Lonchura striata: one gene and its partner. The protein of the gene in region 1 purifies or fractionates together with the protein of each later gene. This does not show direct contact. Links are inferred from orthologs where the notes say so. Each region holds a gene or a part of one and is shown on either strand. Other genes may lie near its edges.

Region 1 (10,800 bases):
AAAACTCTCCCCTGTTGAACCAAACCAAACTTGCTTAGAAGAGACAAAGGAGTGAATTGTACAAAGCCAGTTCTGTGAAAATTCATTATTTGCTACTTTGATTTTCTTTAGCACACAGGCTGCTGTGGGGAAGGCTTCCCACTGCTTTTAAGTGCAAAATGGGAATGTAAGTGCAAATCTTTAGATTTGCAAATGTTTAGATTTTTCCAGTGGTCCTTATCTTGTAATCAGACACATTACCTCATATTCAGTCATGAAATGTCTGTTATGTCCCTGAACACTTTTTTTAGTGAAGTTTTAGGACTGGAATTGTATTTAGGTTTTGGATTTTTTTTTAAGTGTCACTGTACATGTTGTACAAATAACTTATTTGGACTTGAATTATTATGGCATGCTTTGGTTGGGAAGGTTGGAAAAAAGTAAGAAACTGAAATGTGGTTTCTGGATTGTAAAGCATTTAGATGAGTGATTCTTCTTCATAAAAACAATTGCTTTTTAATATTTATGAAGCAAGCTGGAGATGCACTTCAGAAATAAATAGGAAGGGTTTTACTAAAAACCCCAAAACTCTGTAACTGAATAAACTGTAAGTACTTAATGGCATTGTTTTTGCAGTGCTCAATATTCACAATCTGTTTTCAGGTTGTTGAGTTCTCCTTATTTTTTATTCTGTCATTTGGCATCACACATATTGAAACTTCTCTTCCAGCACTTAGGTGAAAGGCCCACAAAGGCAAGGAAACTTCCCTCCTTTGAATCTGAAAGAATGGGTCTTGTTAGCCTCTTGAAATCTTTATGCCCAAAAATTGTAAAAAAAAAAAAAATCCTTATCTTCTCTAAATATTTTGACCATGTATTATTAAAATTCTCATCTCAGAAGCTTAAGGAAGATAGGAGAAAATCCAGCCACCATGGTGGTGGAAGCCTTGGCCATAAGGCTGTGTGTACTCACACAGCTGAAGCTGCTTTCATGAAGTACTTGATTCATCAAGTAATGATGATTCAATCTTTCTTTTGTTATTGATACTAGTTTCCACCCTGGCTGCAGGCATGAAGGCTTGCTAGTTAAATGTTACTTATTTATTCTCCAGGGTGTGAGCACACCTCTTTGCACACTGGAGAGCAGATGGTTGCTCTCAGAAAGAGAAGGAATATTTTTGTGCAGAAGAAAATCCAGAGTAACCCTCAGTATTACCACAACAGTAATTGTTTCACAATCCATAATGATTTTATTAATGCCAATCTAGATCCCATGAGCACAATCAATGCAGCTGTAGTACAGGCTAGAATATCTTCTGTGGTCAACTGTAAATAGCAACTCTGTATCCATGGTTTATTTTTACCATAGTGTGCTATAATAGGAAAAATAGCAAATGGTAATTCTATATATAGCCTGTTACCAAGACTGTGAACAAAATGGTTAGTCAACAGTAAAAGCCTATCCTAATCAACAAATGGTTTTAGGTCCAGTAATAATATTTTGAATATCAAAATAATGTATACTAGGTAGTGAAAGGAATTGCAGCAGTGCAGCTAATATTTTATAGGCCTTTTATGACTCTTTTTAATGTTAAGTAGGAATTTTGTGAATCATGTTGATTTTAACAGACTGGAAATGGATAGCAGACTCTATATTGCTGTACTTATATATTGCCTGACTTTTTATCTTCTGCCTCTTTCTTTTGTTGGACCAGCAAAAATTCATTTTCCTTTTAGTGACATTAATTAACCATTAAATGGTGAATAGATCAGGAAAGGAGAGCCCCCTGTCTCTATGCCTTGTTCTTTATTCCTAAACTTACTTAAAAACCCACTATAGAAAAATATAAATTTTATTCCAGGCTTGAAAATATTATGTTCTTTTATATTTTATGTATAACTATTTTATGACTGACAAGGTTAGAAAAGTATATAACAAATTCTTAGATAAGTCTTCAAGGTTACTTCACATTAGACATGATAGGTAGGAAGAAAATACAGGCAGAAGTCAAGTTTCCTTATCTTCTGTATAAACAAGCTGGTATTTCATTCAAGGCCTTTTCCTTAACTTTCGGCATACCAGATCAGTATCAGGCAGTCACAGGGAGAGATATGCAAACATGCTGTTGTTGACTATTTATCTACTGAATTTATGAATTGGATTCCAAGGAAAGCAGGCTCCTGAATTCATTCCATCTTTGTGCTTGCCTGACATCCCCTACCTTTCTCCCCTTCACAATAATTTGTGACTTACCTTACTAGTCTTAAACATGTTTCATGGAAAGTTGGAGGTCTGTAATTATAGTAAATTCCTATTTTTACAAAACTCAAGGGTAGAGGAGGGAATGCCCTGCTTGTGGGGCAGTCTACTCCAGGGCAAAGGAAAAATAAGGGAAACTCTGTCCTTACCTGGGTTTGGGCCCATGCTGTGCACTGGCCTCCAGCATTCTCCTGTGAGCCAAACACCTTTTCCTGTGAGTGAATCTGCAGATGTGATGGAGACACAGCATCCTTAGGACTCTGTGGGCCAATGCCAGAGTGGGCCAAGGCATGGTGAGACACCAGTGATGTGGAGGGTTTTAGGGAGGATCAAGCTGGGAGCGTGCTTGGGGGTCTATATGGCTTTTGTTGGTTTTGGTGTGCCAAGCAGGTGAATGGAGCTACTGTGGGATGATAATTCCACATCAAGGGAAAGAGCATTGAAGACCCGGTCTGTGTGAAAGAAATGGGAGCTACCATGGTGAAAGGGTAGAAAGCAAGGAAAAAGAGCTGGCCTGTGAAAAGCAGCACAGACATGATGAAGGACTAGGGGCATTTTCTTTGGGGAGTGTTCATGACAAGTATCTCTTGGAAAACACACACTATTTATTAATTCTGCTGTTTTACAGTAGCATCATGTATTCATTACAATGTACTTTGTTTAAATGAGCCTGATCTAATACCTTCTGAAGTAAATGCTGCTTTTATTTGCTATCAAAGGGATGAGATAAAGTCCCTGCTATAACATAGGTAATTTATTTGCATGATGTTTATGAATGACTTTGAAGTACATATTTGTAATTTAAATCCCAACATTAGTAATACCTGTTGAAAATGCAGACATGAGCTTCTCAAGTAATTTTTATTCTTCTTAGTTTTATTACAAACTATATACACTGAGACAGGACTGATATCTTAGGACTTTTTAGTTCATATTTTTAGGGGCTTAAGAACTTCCTTTGTGTATGTTTCTACAGCACCTAATAGTTGTCCATACATCATGATTTCTGATTTCATTGTAGTATAAGTAATTATAATATATATTATTTTATCTGTTTACAAAACTGTATTATAAAATAATTATAGTACTCAAAAATTAAGTATGGTCTTCATCCATTCTTTGGCCTAAGGAATTGTATTTGATGTTGATGCCAATTCTGAAGAGAAGGGCGACCTAATTCAGGCAGGTAAATTTGTAAAATGGATAAAATACTTCAGAAGAAAAGAGTAGTTCAGTTAGTTTCCTCCTACATTTTTAGGATTGGGCTACATTAAGCCTTTTCTTACTCAGCTGGCTTCTTAGTGTTAGTCCTGCTGTTGGAAGAAATCATGGGAATACTCATGTAGAGTGTCTGCAACTTCCTCATCTCCATCTTGTCTAGACACCAGCAATCTCATAGTATATTCATGCCTCCAGAACATCTAGACTTCTCTTAACTGGGAACTCTGAATGAGGTAGGAGAACAGAGGGAATCTGTTTTCCCTTTCAAAGTTCCTTCTTTGCCAGTGGCTAAGTACAGTATTGTAATGAATACCAAATCAGTGTTATATTTCACAGTATGGTTCTCAAATTCATGTCACAGGGGAAAGGTGAGATAGTGCTATTTATTCCAATGTCACTGACTAAAAATACTACTAGAAATTATAAGAGATTAATAAAGTGATATTGAAAAATACTGTGGTAAATATGTTATCCTACTGATGTTTTATTTTCAGTTTAAATGTACTTAGAAAGCTTTCTGGCAATTGTACAAGATACAACTTAAATTTCTGTGAGAGAGGCATGGAATTAGTCCATACTTTTTTTGGCACTGTCTGCCCCATTATGTAATAAAGCCAGGCTATCTAACTTCTCCTCTTTCAGACATCTTGAGTTTTTGACACCCTTTTCTTTCTTCAGTGGCATAGATGGAGGATAGTCTTTCTCCATCTTCCTCAGTTACTGAGGACTCAGGGTATTTTTTTGAAGTGGGGATGGTGGTATTAAATAATTTCAAATGAAATGAGAAAATTTCTAAATGTGCTAGTTTTTTGCTTGGAAAAAAATTTTTTGTTCTTGTCAATTGTTGTTTAAGGGAGAGGTAAAAGTGGTGGATTAGACTGTTTAGCCTAAGTTTTTCCAGAAAATGAAATATATGTGTGAATGGGGAGAGGGAGCACTTCTTGGCTCTGTTTCTTTGTATTGCTGTTGCAACTATAATATAGTACCTGTATTTTATTTCTAAGAATCCTTTTCCATGCTTTAATGTGTAAGTCTGTGGCACCTTTGGCTTGAGATGTGGCAGCAAAACTCGCCTCCTCTGAAATAACCTGGAAAAAATACTGTCTTAAATATTTGTGTTAAAGGATGTGGAGACAACCTCTGCATTCCAGAAGTATTAAAGCCAAAGAGGGATTCATTAGGTGAAATTGGTGAATTGTAAATAATAATTGGTCAGTGGCTATAGCCAAATATCCTGTAGAACAAAGCTGGACACTGGCCACGTGGCATTTGCTATCTGCCTGACCTCACTGGAAAATGAGACATGTGGAATTCCTCCTCACCACTTTCTGAGGCACTTATACCATACTCCATCTCAGGCATCTGCTGGCTCCTTTTCTTAAGTGGTTTTTTTTTTTTTTTTTTTTTTTTTTTTTTTTTTTTGGCATATCCTACAAACTGCTGTTTATGCTATGGACACATCTGGCAGTTCTGCTGGTGAGACACTGTGGCTTGTGGGATGATGCTTGGAAGAGCTGTGCATTAATCTGTTGTGCAAAAGAAGATGTTCTATTGCAGTTTTTCCATGACTCAGAAAAACAAAGAAACCTAAAAGGTCATATGGTGGTGTGTGATTTGTTTTGTGGGTTCATTCAATATTGCCATTGTGCATTTGGCCCAACTACAATGAGTCAACAGGGTTGGACTGACTCAAAGTAGAGAACTTGCACAACAGTAGGACTTCATTCTAAATTCCCTTGCTAGTTCACATCAAAGAGATGAAATTACGTATGGAGTGCAGATATTTTTATGAAGTGGGAGTGTAATACCTGCACATCTAAAATCAGTTTGAAGTGAAACGTGGGCATCTCAGTGTTTTTATGCAACTTGCCTAGGTGTTTTACTACCTTGAACTTCCATTAGTTAGGCAAATAAACCTACTGTCAGGAAAGTATATAGAATTTGGCTTGAGCAAGTCAGCTTTGCTTGTATTGACTTGGTTACATCTACTTGGATCCATCTGATTCAAGCACGTAAGTCGAAGTTGTAAGGTGGTGAAATTGCAGCTGTCACATGGTGCTCTGGAGCCTGAAACCTGCTGCTTGAGTAATTAATTACGTGACAGCTTCCCTGCTTCGCAGGCTACCCTGTGTGCTTTGGCACCACAGAGCCAAGGGCCAAGCGCCGGCCCTTTTCCCCTCAGGAGCTTGCCCGTGCCACCCGGGGTGGCAGCGGGGAGCGGCTCGGCCGCCGCGCCGGACCCGGGGCTTCCCCTCAGCGCTGCTCCGGCCGCCCGCCCAGGCGGGGGCTGCCCGCGGCGCCGCCGCCTCGCCCGGCGCACGCAGGCGGTGGAACGCCCGGCCGCCCGGCAGCGCTGCCCGAGGCCACGGGGCGGCCGCGGGGGAAGGGCCGCCCTTGGGCGGCGGAGCTGCCTGGGGCTGCCCTGCCCGGCGGCGCAGCGCAGAGCCGGGGACGGAGCGCGGGAGCGGAACGGCGCCGCGGGGGTGCCGGTTCGCACAGCCCGGCTCGCGGGGACGCCCCGCGGGCGGACTACACCTCCCGGCGTGCCCCGCGGGCCGTAGCCGCGCGGGGCATGCCGGGAGCTCGGCAGCGCCGCGGCGTCCATGATCTTCCCCTCCCGCCGGCGCGGCAGCGCCCGCTTGCCTCGCGGGGGGCGGGGCTTTCTCGCAGCCGCCGCTCTGAGCGACGTCCACGCCACCCTATCAGCGCCGGTGTGGCGCGGCTGTAGCCAATGAGCGGCGCGGGGGGGCGGCTCCCCGCCGCGGCCGGAGGTAGCGGTAGTGGCGGCAGCCGGAGCGCGGCCGTGGGAGGTTGAGGGCTCTGTGGCGGGGTTGTGAGATCGCTCCGGAGCTCTGCGGGGCCGCTCCGGCCCGGGCGCTCGGTCTTCGGCCCTGCGGGGCCGCGGCGGGGACGGCATGGAGCAGGCAGCGCCCAAGAGGTAAGGACCCTCCCCGGCGGCCCCTTCCCCGGCCAGGAGCGGTGGCACGGCCGGGGTGAGGCCTCGGGCCCGGGGTCTGTGAGGGGGCAGTGGGACAGGCACGGCACCGAGCCCTGCGCCCTGCCCGGCGGCCGGAGGGCTCTCTCGCGTGGGGAGGGCTCTTCTGTACGGTGGATCCTCCGAAATACAGCCTCCAGTGGAAATACAGCCCCGGCGGAGACGAGCCCCTGGGGGCTGCTGGAGTTAACAACATTTTTAACGTGAAGTGAGGGAAGCTTGGTCGCCGAGCAGAGTCCTCTCTGCCCTGAGGGTCTCTCACTCGATGGTTCAGGTCTGTGGCAGGAGCACACATGAGTAGTTCTCTTTTCACGCTGGAAAGTGTCCTTGTGCTCTGCTGCTGGAGGGATGGATGCTTGTGGGGGTGGGCGTTGCATAGTTGCAATTGCAAATCGGGGAGTGGGAAGAGGTAAAAGCCAGGAATATTCCCACAGTAGATGTATTTTCTCAAATATATAGACTGGCAGGTCATATTAATTACTGTGCACGTTTTTAAAAATAATGTATCACTTGACTTCTTAGTGCATAAAATAACTTTGTGTTAAATTTTAGTCATATATTTCAGTTGGAAGAAGATATAGTTGTACAATACACAGACCATAGTTGTGTGGTGTACAGAATGTAGTTACATGGTTTACGTATATATATACACTGCCTTTGAGCTCTGATTTTACTTTTGCTTCCTGATAATAAAAAATCTAGGGACTACGCAATATAAATTTGTGATAAAGGATATTAGATACGTTTTTGCATTAATCTTTAAAACCTATATGTTCCCCATTTAGAAAAAACATCTTTAAAAACAACTTCCTGTAGGGTGATAAGACTTGAGAAGAATGTAGTCTTAAACATCTGATGACTTCTCCAATAACTCATAAAGTGACAGTACCTACTGTGGAAAATTTTGAAAAAGAATTGGTTTGTAGTTGCTATCTAGGGTGGTTTTAGCAGGCAGTGGGGTAAGAAGGGACAGACCTATGCTGTACTTTCAGGCTGACAGTTCTGCATATCTCAAATGAAGGAAGTAGGACAAGCACCAGCACAAATTTAGGAAAAGAAATGGAAAAGTCTGGGGAGTAATCAATGTTGCTAGTAGCAGTGGAAACGTTGGGAACTGGTGGTGTAACAGGACTGAAAATCAAACTCAGAAGTTAGCATAACCTCCCAAATGTTTTGGGGAAGATGTGGCATTTGCTGTAACTTTATTACCTAGCTGGAGGTGTGTGTCTGGCCTAACTGAAACAAAGAGATATTTAGGTCTTTGGATTTGGTCAGAAATAACTAGATGTGGGAATATCTAAACTCTGGCATGTTTTTATATTCCACATGGGTTTTGAAGCTTATTTCTGGAAATTTGTGATTTGTTTCTTTAGTGGGAGGGAAAATTTGAACTCAGCAAGATATTAACTGAGGTTATTTCTTAAGATTTCAAGCAAATTTTTCATGGCTGTGCATAATATTTCCTTTATTGGTAGTTTTGTACAGTTTCCCAGTTGTTGGTATTCTCAACTATTCTAGGCCACCCCCTTTTTCTGCAAGTGCAGAAGAAATGCAGATTATTTTTTGTGGGCTAAGTTTTTGGTGCTGTCCTTGGATGCAGTAGTGGCATGAAATGGACTGTGTTTACTTGGCAAAACAGATGTGAACACTAGAATTCTTTACTTTGGTGCCTGTTCACAGGAGCAGTTACTGAGAGGGATCTATTGTCATCATATCTGTGATGCATTTCCATTTACAGTTAGTAGGAATTTCATATGTACAATAAAAAGCTGCATGGATGTCCTAGAATCCCAGTGTTACCTCATAGGTATAGGGCAGTTTTATCTGCACTTCCTTGTAGTGAAGCACACAAGGCAATTGCCTGTTGTATAAATCTGTAATACAGCCCTTCAGAAAGCAGCAGTGGTGATGCCCAAGTGACATTCTAAGCCATTGTGACTTTTCAATGGAGGTGCTATCAAAATAATTCACTTTTTTCATTTGACTAATGCACTGCAGCACTAACACCAGACTTTAAAGGGAGACTCCTTTTCAGAATATTTTAAATTTTAGAAATAATTTAGAGTAGATTTTCTGATTTTATGCTGAACAATTAGTGCAGTAGTTGACACAGTGTTTTCTTGCATCTTGAATCTTTAATTGTACTTTAGATGTGCTTTATAGATTTTTCTCTCACTAGGAAGGAGATTTACTCTTGAAATAGTTACAAAATTTGCCTCTTAGTGGTGTGATTTTCCTTGGTTGTTATTGCTTTGTTTTTCTGTATCCCTGGCAAGCTCGCATGTGAGGATACAGGTTGCATACAAGGGAAAACCAAAGTAGTTATTGACAGAATTTTCTCAAGTACATAGGTTTTAATCTTGCCTATCTCCTGCATGTTGCTGTCAAATAAAAGTCTGCTTAACAAGCATGGGAAGTGTTAATGAAGATTTTCCAGTCCTTTCTTTAAACTTGAGTTTAATGTTCACTGAAAAACACAACATTTCAGGCTTTGTGGAAAAAGGAAGCTTTTCCTTTTCATGTTCTAATAAAAACTTGTTATTAGAATACAAATTGTTTGTGAAAAAGTGTGTTTTTGTTTTTTAAAGTGTGTGTCAGTGGACATGTTGGCAATTGTCAAGTTCCTCCTGAAAATGATGAAACAAAAATGTTTGGGCTTTGCTGGCAGGATGCTCAATGGAAGTACACAGCACAGTGGTGTAAACTGTCTTAATCTTGCTTCTACTTGTGTGAGTGCTGTGAAGCAGAACAAATGTCCCAAGGCTTCCACCTGCCACTTCTACTTCAGATGACTGCAGTGATTGCTCCTACTACCTTCTCTTTTAATATATCAGTATAATTGATCCCAGCCATTCTTTTTAAATGTTTCAATGTGCTAGTTCTTCTGCACAATAAACTGTATATATTCATGTTTCTTGGAGCGGCTGTCCAGTTTTTTGTAACTCATGACAGTCATTGATGGCTTTCTATTCTTTATTCCAGCTTTAGTTTGATTTTTGAACTTTCAAGGATTTTTTATCCCTACCGCTGTAGCACATCACCAATTTATTTTGTGAAATCTATATATAAAGACTGTAGGGTACTATTGTCATGTTTTTTTTTTCCTTTCATTTTTTAGGGAGGAAATCTCTTGCTCTTTCGTGTTGCAGTTCAAATTTTTCTGATCTTTATGCTGTTATTGAGTGCCTACTAGGTTTTCCTTTTCTAGAGTTTTTCTGATGTACTCAATGGCATCTAAGATTCTGGTCAGACTAGGAATTAATGTTTTCTCGTATGAACTGGATTTATAAAAGTATAATTATTTGCTAGGATGTGTTTTCCTTGTTAAGAGACAAGGTGTTATGTGAAAGTTAAACCTTGGAACAAGAAAATAGTTTTCACAGGCCTTTCCCAGAAGTGTAATTTAGTTAATCCTTCTGGTTTAAGGACCAGCTTCCCTTCTAGAAGACCTCTAAAATAGCTCATAATCACTACCCGATAACTTAGATTCTAGAGAAAAAAGTAACTCAGAACAACTTTGTCCAGGTTTTATACTGAACTTCTCTGCATCTCCTTTGGACTTTCTCATATATGGAGATATATATACATACATACACAGACGTATGGGACTTGCATGCTTTGGCCAGAGTAAAGCAGTGCCTGGATGTGCTGATTTATTTGTTCTGTTTTAAATGCTTGTGTTATGAAGGTAGGGAATCAGTGAGGGAGAGAGTGAGACACATTCTGTCTTTCTCTCCTATTGCTCTTGTGCCATTTATCTCTTCATTTTTGCCTCCTGCCCCCTCTTCACTTTGCCCCCTTCCCTCTGCCAGTAAAAGCTGATGCTGAACTCTTAGATGTGTTTCTCTGCCCTAAGATTGTTGCTTTTAAGCAACAAGGTACTATTTCTAGTCTCTTCTTGTATTCTGCTTGGTGCTTTGCAGCCAGTTACACCAGTCGCCACCTTCTTCCTTGTTTCTCCTGGAGTTTATAGCAATGCTGTCTTCACTGCAGCCCTTCAGGGTATATCACCTGATGTTCTGCAGTTCAAGAGCTGAATATTTAAACATCCAGAAACAGAAATCATTAGAATGTCTGAGTCATTAGGATTTTTTGTTGATTCAAAGACCTGTGGTGTTGATACTATCACTTGAACATCTTACCCAGCATCTGTACTGTTACAGTGCTTGTGACGAGCGGGGGAGGTGCTTTGAGCACAGTATTTGGTGATGACATTCCTGAGGCCATGTACCTTTCTCACTGGAAATAGGTTTTGTATTAAGCTACCTTAATGTTAAGTGTGATTTGGTCTTGTAACATGTTTGTCCGACTTGAATAATATGAACATAATTTGAATTTTTTTTTC
Region 2 (9,976 bases), on another chromosome or scaffold:
TAATCAGTTTAAAATTCTGTCAATAAATTCTCACTTTCTGTCCTCTGAAAGAACCTTCCAAAGTACCTAGTAGAAACAGTAGCTCAAAATGATGAGAACTCTCACCAGATGAGAGCTGAGAATAAAGGTCTTCATGAGCCAGCAGAACTTGGCAAGAAACAGGACACAAAATCATCCACCTCAGACAGACTTGATTTCTGTAGTTATTTACTTATTGTAATGGCTGCAGAACAAGCAGGGTTTGCCCCTGGGGCAGTTTTGCAAAGTAAAAAAAAAATATAAAAAAAAAAAATCAGCAAGCATCACGCTTTTTATGTTTTCCACAGGATAATATGGGATTGTCTTCTGAGCATGTCTAAAATCTGACTTAACAAACTCCCTCTTCTTGCTGGAATTGGTAACAAACAAGTTTCAAGTTCACAGATGACATGGAACACATAAAAATAGTCCTGAGAGCTCAGAAGAACTCCCTATTTTTTTCTATATAAGCCTAAAAAACATCGTAAAGGTTTAAATCAATGCAGATCATAAAATTATCTCTTCCAGGGGGGTGCATTAGTTGCTTAAGGAGAAATTCATGAAAGAGTAACAGTTGTGAGATCTGAGCCACAAAATTATCTCAGACTAATCCTTAATTGTTAAAAGTCATCTTAAATCTTTAAGCAAGAAGATTTATGTGGCTTTCAAAGCTTTTATTGTAGCTTCAATTATCATAATATTGAATATTCTTATTTTTCCAGACCCTCTTTAAATCTCGTTACATTCCTGACCTCAGCAGCATCCTCTCGTAATGAGTTCTACAATTTAATTACATACTGAATTAAAAATAATTTTGAAAAATCCTTTTATCTGCTTTATATTTGTCACCCCTCACCTTATTCCTCTGCTATAAGACAGAGAAAACAGGAGTTACATGTCTATTTTGAATTTTTGTATCATTCTATAGTCTTATCATGGCTCTTCATGATATTTTTTCTAATTCCTTTGCCTTTCAATATCTCTCCCTGTACATACATACTTTATCATGATAAAATTTCTAGTCACATGATGTGCCAGCATAAATTCTCCTAAGATGCTGTAGGAAACATTCAAACATATTTCAAAGAAATGAAGGCTCCAGAACCCTAAAATCTACATCCCTCAATTTAAACCTCTTATGTAATGTACGCTTCATCAAACTAAATGCAGTTAAAATATTATCAGCTACATTTAGTATATTCTGAACCATGTCTAAGATATTTTTTTAATCCTTCAGTAAGTAACTTAATCAAAATCAGTGACTGAAGAATGCTCACAAATTTTCTTCCTTCTTTTAGAGCTTTGCAAGGAGCACATTAGCTGTAGGCCAAAGTCTGTGGCCACTAATCCCAAAGTGCCCATCCAAGGACAGGCTGAAAAGCTAAACATTTTTAGGAACAGCAACCTAATCATGCTTTGACAGCTCTTTCTAAAATTATGTCAAATGCACCTTTCTGAACACAGTGACCTACAACAATACTAAATTCATTGTTATACTTAAAAAATAATTTTGTGCTTCAGCAGATTTTGTTTCTGGGTCAAGCAGAGAGGACAAGGCATCTTGAGACATGGAGTGATAGAAGCAGAACAAAAGCAGCAAGTCTGAGGGTACTATGCAGAGGCACAGTGCCCATCTCTTGGTTTACATGATGAATGAGATCACCCAAAATCTAAGAGATAGCAGAGAACATAATCTCTGACCTTCCTAACATGTCTAAATAACGAAATTTTCTATTTTGTTGTTGTTAAAATGTTACTTTATTATTAAAGCACATGTGGCTAAAAATTATCGGTAAGTATTACTGAAAGCTTTAATTGCCAGCTAGTTATTAATCCATGGGGCAAGCCTAGCGACACAGAATTGTTCTACTGGGTCATCCTGGGTCCTAGCTCATCCTGAATGAAAAATTCTGTAAGTGCCAGTCCTGGAGTAAAACCTACCAGGAAAAGACAGCAAAAAGTTGTTGGATTCTAGGAAGCAAGGGTAAATCTCTGTGTACCAAGGGATGGTAGTCAATTCTGATCAGGGCAGATGGTCAATACTGCTCAGGGTAGATTGTCAGTACTTCTCAGCGTAGGCTTTTGAGTTGAATAACTCTCTCAGAAGGACAGAAGGGCACCTTGGTAAAGAATTACCAAATTGTGATGTTTCAGAGTCGAGGAAGCTGAGGAAATGGGTAATTTTGTAATTCACCAAAAACTAAAGGGAAATTCTGGACACTGAAGAAAAATGCAGAAATGTTTGTGGACGTCAGGGTAGCTAAGGTTTAACTAACAAGTGTAACTTACTGTCTTTGTACAGACTAAAGAGAAATCAGGAGCTGTGTCTCCTCCCCTGTGAGAGGAGCATCAGGACTTCAGCTTCCAGTTTATAAGAATGGGTTCTGTAAACTTACAAGAAATTTGAGTTGAATTTTAACACTGAGATTTTTTCTGCTTGGACTCAACCTTCCACTGAATTGACACATTTCCATCAAACCCACAATTTTGTGACAAATATCTCATTGCACTGGTAGCAAAGGACTTCTAGGGCACTTCAGACATATTCACAAATTCAGTTCTAAAGAGGTGCTAAAGCATACACTAAAAATGATCGTAAAAAGATACATTTTATTCAAACCACCAGATGTAGAGGGAGAAGGAAGGCAACCCACAAAAAAGCATTATTTTTAAAGCACTCAGAGTTCACCTCTTTTCTTGTTACAAGTCACAGATACAATTATTTTTTTGCAATACTGGGGTAAAAGATAACTGGCATGCAAACATTTTCACACATGTGTAACCCAGCTAGCAATTAAAGCTCTCCATAGAAGTTATTGATAGTTTTTACTATCAATAATTAATAAAGGAGATGCAGGAATGATCTGATGTGTTAGGAGGACTCAGGATGATTTGCATGTATTAGGAGGACCTGAGATTACCAGTATTCCAAGAAAGGTTCAAAACTCTAGATTCATCAAGGAAAGTTTCATACAGACTTCAATGTCCTGAGATTTCCTTGTGAATATTTGAAATCTGTGGATTCCTTTGGGAAGAAGTCATGTGTCATTTAGGTCCTAACACCCTTACTGTGACAGATTTCAGATGGCACATCCCCTTTCAAGAGTCACAGATCTGTTGTCTCAAGTACAACACTAAGCTGCTCAGCTGTGGAACTGACCCAAAGTCTGTGCCATGCAAATACAAACTTGTTATTAATGTTGCAGAATTGACAAGTTCACCATTCTGTTCCAAAGAGTCCCAGTCAAAAGAAATCTGACCTTGTACCATTAGTCCCTTAAGAAGAACATAAAGAACTTGGCTTCCCCCACTATGGCAGTGCACATTCTTCCAACCCCCTGAGAACATGCCTCAGCCCCAGCCTTCACAGACCGTGCTAAAGGGACAAAACGGTATTTGGGCTGTAAGGGCGTTTATGAGAATGTTAATCTGAGAGATGCAAACAGTTTTCTGCCAGGCTTGGACAATGATCAGAACACTGAGATGCTGTGAGGAACAATGCCTTTAATAACTGGTCAGCTGAGCTGTACTGCATTTCAGCTGATAAAATGGAAGAGCAGGCAAGTGCATCACTGCTGAGCATAAGCCCCTCTAAGCTGCCCATCACTTTGTGTGAACACTGGTACAATGAGTTAAAGTCTTTAGTCAGTTCAGTCTTTGCACAGCCTTCTAGATCAATGAACAGCTCAAGGCAATTCTAAATAACTTTCAGGCAATTATTTGAGTCATATCAGAGCTCCTATATACATACCTAAGGGAGAAACATGGCAAAAACAAGATACCAAATATCAGTGATGTGAATAAATTATGCAGCTGCAAAAGAACTCTTTGCCAGAACAAGCCTGATGAACCTTCTATTGCTTTACCAGAATATTTTGACAGTTTTGCCTAATGACCCTCCAAGAATGAAAAAATGCAAACAATTCTGGCCTGGAAAAATTAACCAGTTCAAAGAAAACAGATTTTTTTTTTTCCCCTCTTTTTTTGTTTTTTGTTTGTTTGTTTGTTTTGTTGTTTTTGTTTTGTTTCGTTTAGCAGGAAAAAATCTGGGGAAAAATAGCAGCAGACTTACCCGGAGATTTCCAGAGAAGTTTTACCGTCCTTCTCCTCGAACTGCTCAATGATTTAGGAAACCAGTAAAAGAAACGTGCTATCCTCCTGATGGTTTTGTTCAGATCATTTCTCACTGCCATGGCTGAAAGGGCTCCACTGCTACCCCAGGAACAAGAGGCACATGTATCCAGAGGAGAGAGGAGAGCCCACGAACACCCACAGTGAGTGCGCTGGCTCTGAGCTCAGCGTCAGCCAGCACGTCTCAGGACCACCTGTTAGTCCTAAATCCCCACCCTCTCCGTCACTCCGCTCAGAGCCCTCCAGACCTCCCTCTTTATTACAAGAAGCAGCTATTTTAATAGATGCTTCAGCTAAAGAAAGACCAATGCTCTGGAGTCTTAACCTGTTACTGTGTTTCCAATGATGTTAAGACATGTTTTCTGCAGGAAAGGCTTTGAAGGGCTCCTTTTTTCATCTGTAGCTACCTTTTCCAGGCTGAAAACAAATAAACATCAAAACTGATAGTGACAAGTAGTCTTTCAAAATCCCTTAATGTAAATCAATATATTTCCTCTGTAAAGAGAGTCTCTCAAAGACTTTCTTCTGAGCAGCAGAAGGTTCTGAGCAGCAAATTTAACAGAGATTTCTATGGATACACACATTGTTCAAAATGAGACTTTCCTCTTAACGGAGTTTAAGGCAAATGTAAGAGTCAAATCATTCACTGACACAATTTACTTAAAAATTGAGCATCTATTAATATATCACTATACAAAGAAATTAACAGTATCTCAATACATAGCCTACACCTGCTTCAATCATAGTGCATATTAAATTGTAAATCCAGAGATGCTATTTACTGCAATGCCCCCTGCAAAATTTACCACAACTTCTAAAATACACTTTTAAACAGTAAGACTATGTAACAATTTCCCAAGGATGGTATGATTTCCTTGACTATGTGTCCAGCTTCTCACATTTGATTTTATTTTTTTTTTCTTCTTCTAGATCTGAATGGCAGAAATCCCTGGAAAATCAAGACTAATGTCATTACAAAACAAAGGTCCTTTTGTATCAACCTTTAAACTACAGAAAGTAAGGGTTTTGTTACACCAGCTATGTTCACAGCATACAGTTAATAAATCTTCCAGAATTCACAGTGTATTTTTCTACACTAAAATATGTGAAGTATTTAACTCCATTTTTTACATCTGACTTTCTAAACATACTGCTGCTAGTCAGGACTGAGCTACTGGTTTCTGATTGCATTTCCTGTTGTCAGTATGTCTCTAAAAACAAATAAACATTTCTATTTATACTGTATCTGTCACAATTCTTTAGCCAGTGTCAATGAAAAGAACAGAAGGCAGGACACAGACCACTGGATTTTGTCTCATTTGAGCTCCACCCTGTCATACCAGAAGGAATTTAGTAGCAAAGTGACAGTTTTAGCAAAGCAGGAGGTCTGTCACCCAATTCAGAACAAGAAAGGAGCAGAGTTAAAGGCCTGACAGATAGATTGCTTTTCTTAGGAAATAGGAGTCTGAGTGTGTACTGGCATCTGTGAAATACAAGATCAAACAATGACTTCTTTTTTTTCTGAAATTTTTACATATAAAATTGAATGAAAATCAAAGTAGCATAAAAAACCCTGAACAATTTCACACCCTAAGTAAATATGTAATAAATTGCCTAGTTTTGCGATTTGTCAAAGAATATATATATATATCTCCTTTAGCAGGATATGAAGGGGACAGGAATATTTTTTTCACTTAACAGAAAATGCTGATATAGTATCTTTATACTGGAATTTTATGAGGCTTTAAAATTTACCCAGTTGGAACAACGTAAGGGGATAAATTGACTTTGTTGATGATGGTAACAAACCTGTGGATGTTTATACCTGACAATATTTAGTGAAACAAAAATAGGCAAGAACATAAAACACTGTGTATTACTTTAAAGCAAACGGATCTTACTTTATCCAAAGACTTCACTGGGATGAATCTGGCAATTATACTGTGCAACAAACCACGTAATACAGATGAGAACACAGACCTGAATTCAAATTAAACTGAACAGCAGTGGTAGTTGCAATATAGTAATTTCACAACTTCTACATCACTTTACATTTTTAGGCCATAGTTAGGCCAAAATACAAAGCTAATGAACAGCCTGCCTCCCACAGCTCAGGGATCGGGGTGTGTGATGGTGACGGGAGTTCCTCTCAACCTGAACTGCTAGCTTTAGAATATGAGCCACTGTGCTGTGCACAGGAATGCACTGCTCTCAGCTGGACTCAGGAAAGTCCACAGAGCTCCTCCTAAGACAACTCTGATTCCTCACATTACACTGATGTATTATTAAGGTTAAGAATTCACTGTATTAGAAAGGTACTACACAGGGCTGCATATGTACCTTTCAATCTACTCTGACAGAGAGACAGCACAGAGATACTTTCCAAGGAGGACAAAAGGACCTGAAATGTGAGCAGACTCAGACTCTTGATCACTGCCTCTGTTTCAGGAAAAAAGCCACGTAAGGCTTTTTCCTACAACAGACTTCAACCCCCAGGTCACACTCTGCTCATCTGGAGGAGGGGAGGGAATGACTGCTGCCTTCATTGCTGTCCCACCTGCCTGGGAAGGAAGGTGAGCAGCTGTCCCCTCTGCTATGCAAGCAGCCTCTGACCTCCTACCTCCCCACAGCAGTGCAGAGGTCAGAGCCCAGCGGGCCCCTGTGCAGGGCAGAAATGCCCACAGAGCCTCCGTCTGTGTGGTGCCTGGGGTGCGTGGCAGGTCACCACCTAGTCAGGAGAGCTGGGTTCACCACACTGCCCAGCTGTGTCTGCCTCCCAACCCACTTTCTGCATGGCAACCTGTGCCCAACAGCTGGAAAACAAAGGGGTGCTCATGAAACATCCATCAGTTTAGACATGTCCCTGTCTACCCTGACCTACAGAGCTCAACAGACCAGCTCTAAGCAGAGGGGGATACACGGTGACCTGGTGCCTGCCTTACTGCAGCCCTTCCATACTCACTGACAGAGCTGAAAGAACTAAAAATACCCCAAACTAACCTTCATTGCTACAATAAAACACTCTTAAATGAACTGTAAACAACCAGCAGTGCTTTACTGGAAATATTCTCTTGGGGTCTGATGAGTTCATGTATTTTAAAAGCAAATTCTCTGCTAACAAGCATTTTTTAGAGCAACACAGGAGTGCTGAGATACCATAAAAATGAAGTCTGATAATCAGGAGGAGCACACACAGTGGTGCTAGATGTGAGGCAGATGCAGAAGTCTCTGCTCTGGAGCAGAAGAGCATTTTTCCTCAGTGAGGATTTACTGCCATTTCCACTCCCCCCAGCTCTTAGGCAGCAAATTGCTGGGATGAGTAAAGGATTTCATTTGCTTTGACTTCAACTGGAACTTCTCCATTTAGTCTGGTTTCAGGAACAAAGATCCCCACACACCTGTTCACAATAAGAACTATGTGTAGGAAAAGCTGAGAGTATTAAGCAGTATCTGCTTGTCTACATTGGCAAATATCCCTATTATCTAGGCTCAAAATGAGGTTTTGGTTTCTTTGCAGGCAATAATATACTTGGAAAACAAGGCAGTGTCTTTCCAACCTGTCCCAATGTGGATTATATGTCACTATGCTATATGCTACACATGCAGGCACAGTTCAGTATGGAGAAGTCAAGCCTCCACAAGGATATTTCCCATATTGATGGACCTTGAATTAAATTCTGTTCAGCTGTAAATTTTTATCCAACCATCAAAAAAAGGGCCCTGTCTAACTAGTCACTGGGATTCAGCAATACCACGACACAGCATCACTGATTTCATAACAAAACATAATTTATAACATCATGATGTGTGACAAGGCTATGCGGTTGCTAGGAAATTAATAAAGAACACAACTAATGAAAGAAAAGAAACAAAGACATGCTGCATTTGACTTTAAAACAGTTGAAACTAGCACAATACTTCCAATTTCCAGCTCAGCTGCTCATCCCTCCCAAATCCGAATAAGCAGCTATATTTGTGAGCTTTCTAAAAAAACTTTTAATTCTCAGCAGCTGCATGTACACAAAAAGAAAGGACTAAAAATTAAACAGTGATTGGCAATCTGCAACTTCCAAAACCTTGCCTCCTTTTGAAAGGTAGTAATTGAAGAACTGTAGTATTCAAACTGATGTGAAATACATCTGTTATCAGATTTAATGATCTATTAATTACTCTTTTTGGAGAATAATTTGATTTCTCCCCTTAAGATGTAAGGAGTAAGAAGCTTTCTTCTTAGCAATAGCTCCAATGAAACACATCCTGGATTTTGAGGAAGAAAATCACTGTTCCAAAGCACATTAGGTCAAATTTGATTAGCTCTTGTTTAATTCAACAATATATTACTCTGTAAATAAATGTCTTCCTGCATTGTTACATGGAAAAGAATGTCTCTCTGTGTATTTCAGCAATATTTATTCTTGATACTTTTCACTATCATCCATTGTACTGTACAGTCATTCCCTGTTTTATTTCAAATACTTCAATCAGTGAAATTTGTTCTAATTTGCTTTATGTTTTTTTCCAGAGGCAGGTAGGACCAGTACTGTGATGGAAGTGTGTGAGGGAGGGCATTGCTGTTGCTGTGCTGGTGCAGCTGAGCATCAGGAAGGTAATGCACTATTTCCTGGAGACTGCTGCTGGTACAATGTGCTGCTCTTGCTCCTCTTTACCGTGGTTTGGTTACAGGTTTACTGCATGTCTGAAGGTTTGTGCTTCAAAACTAAAGCTGAATAAAAGATTATAAAGCCAGATGAAGAGAACAATAGTGTAATGTGAAAATAACAGATTTGTGTTAATTTTAGCTTTGCATTAGATATTATATTAGTAGCAGCAAATTCAGGGAAATTATTGAACAGTCTCTAGGAAAAGCACTTTTGTATTGTAAACAGCTACACTGCAAAGCAGAGGAAAAATAAAACTCAAGGCTAAAACTGGAGAGAAGATACTGAGTTGCCTTGTAACATAGTTTGACACATAGGATTTGACTCGGCGCGTGATAGACACTTGCCTCTGGGCTTCGGGTGACTTTGTGCCAAAATTAGTAGACTTCTCAGTGAGAGCTTGCAGGGAACTATCATTAAGAGAAAACTGATTGAGGCAGAAAAACCTAAACGTGTCAAACTGCTAAAACAGTATGTTTGTTCATCCTAATCCGGTCTGCTTAAAACCTGGCCATTTTTAGGTGCAAGCAAGCTGTGACCTTCCTTCTTTAGATATCTGTATTGCAGTAGGAACAATTACATGCTGTTTGAACTTGAGACTAACCTTGTACATTTCTTCTCTCAGAAAAGTAGAATGTTTCTTACTTTAGCCACAGCAGCTGCTAGATAATAAGTGAATATTTAGAACAGGAGTATAAGAGAAAAGTACAATACAAGTGGACTTTCACTGTAGCCCTCCATACTTTCTTCCAAGCTCCTACACTCACTGTCAGGCAATGGCATCCAAGCTTCTGCACACAGTACACTCTCCTTTGCTGAGCAAAATTAAAAAGGCTTTCTTCAGTACTCAGTACAGTGTGGAGAAAAGAGACATGCCTAGCAGCTCCTAAAGCCACCCCGCCAGCACAATGCTGACCTGCATTTCACTGTCTGGATAAAGAGATCCTTCCAAGAAGGCTGAAGATTTCTGGTAAACACCACTTAACAACAGAAGGAAGAGATGACCACAGCCCCTGGACAAGAGCTGATCTCTAATGCTTGACCAGTGGATCTCACAGTTAAAATGTTAGTTAATGTACTGGGGCTTCCATCTCTGTCTGCTTGGCTCATAGCAATTCAAAGTGTGACTGCTTCTTCCTGTCCAAGCATATTCTCTATTAAGGACTTAC

What was found. The genes of interacting proteins can lie anywhere in the genome.
Region 2: the proteins of STK3 (region 1) and RASSF3 purify together in Homo sapiens (affinity purification with mass spectrometry; 4 studies listed by BioGRID and IntAct, with this or other methods). This does not show direct contact. The link is inferred for Lonchura striata from reciprocal best matches to the Homo sapiens genes STK3 and RASSF3.

What each region holds. Positions count from the first base shown.
Region 1 is NC_134603.1:22,421,999-22,432,798, forward strand, and holds the start of STK3 (serine/threonine-protein kinase 3), read left to right. Parts: upstream 1-6,222; 5' UTR 6,223-6,375; coding exon 6,376-6,398; intron 6,399-10,800. UniProt on the Homo sapiens protein: Stress-activated, pro-apoptotic kinase which, following caspase-cleavage, enters the nucleus and induces chromatin condensation followed by internucleosomal DNA fragmentation.
Region 2 is NC_134607.1:42,827,626-42,837,601, reverse strand, and holds the start of RASSF3 (ras association domain-containing protein 3), read right to left. Parts: upstream 4,284-9,976; 5' UTR 4,212-4,283; coding exon 4,091-4,211; intron 1-4,090.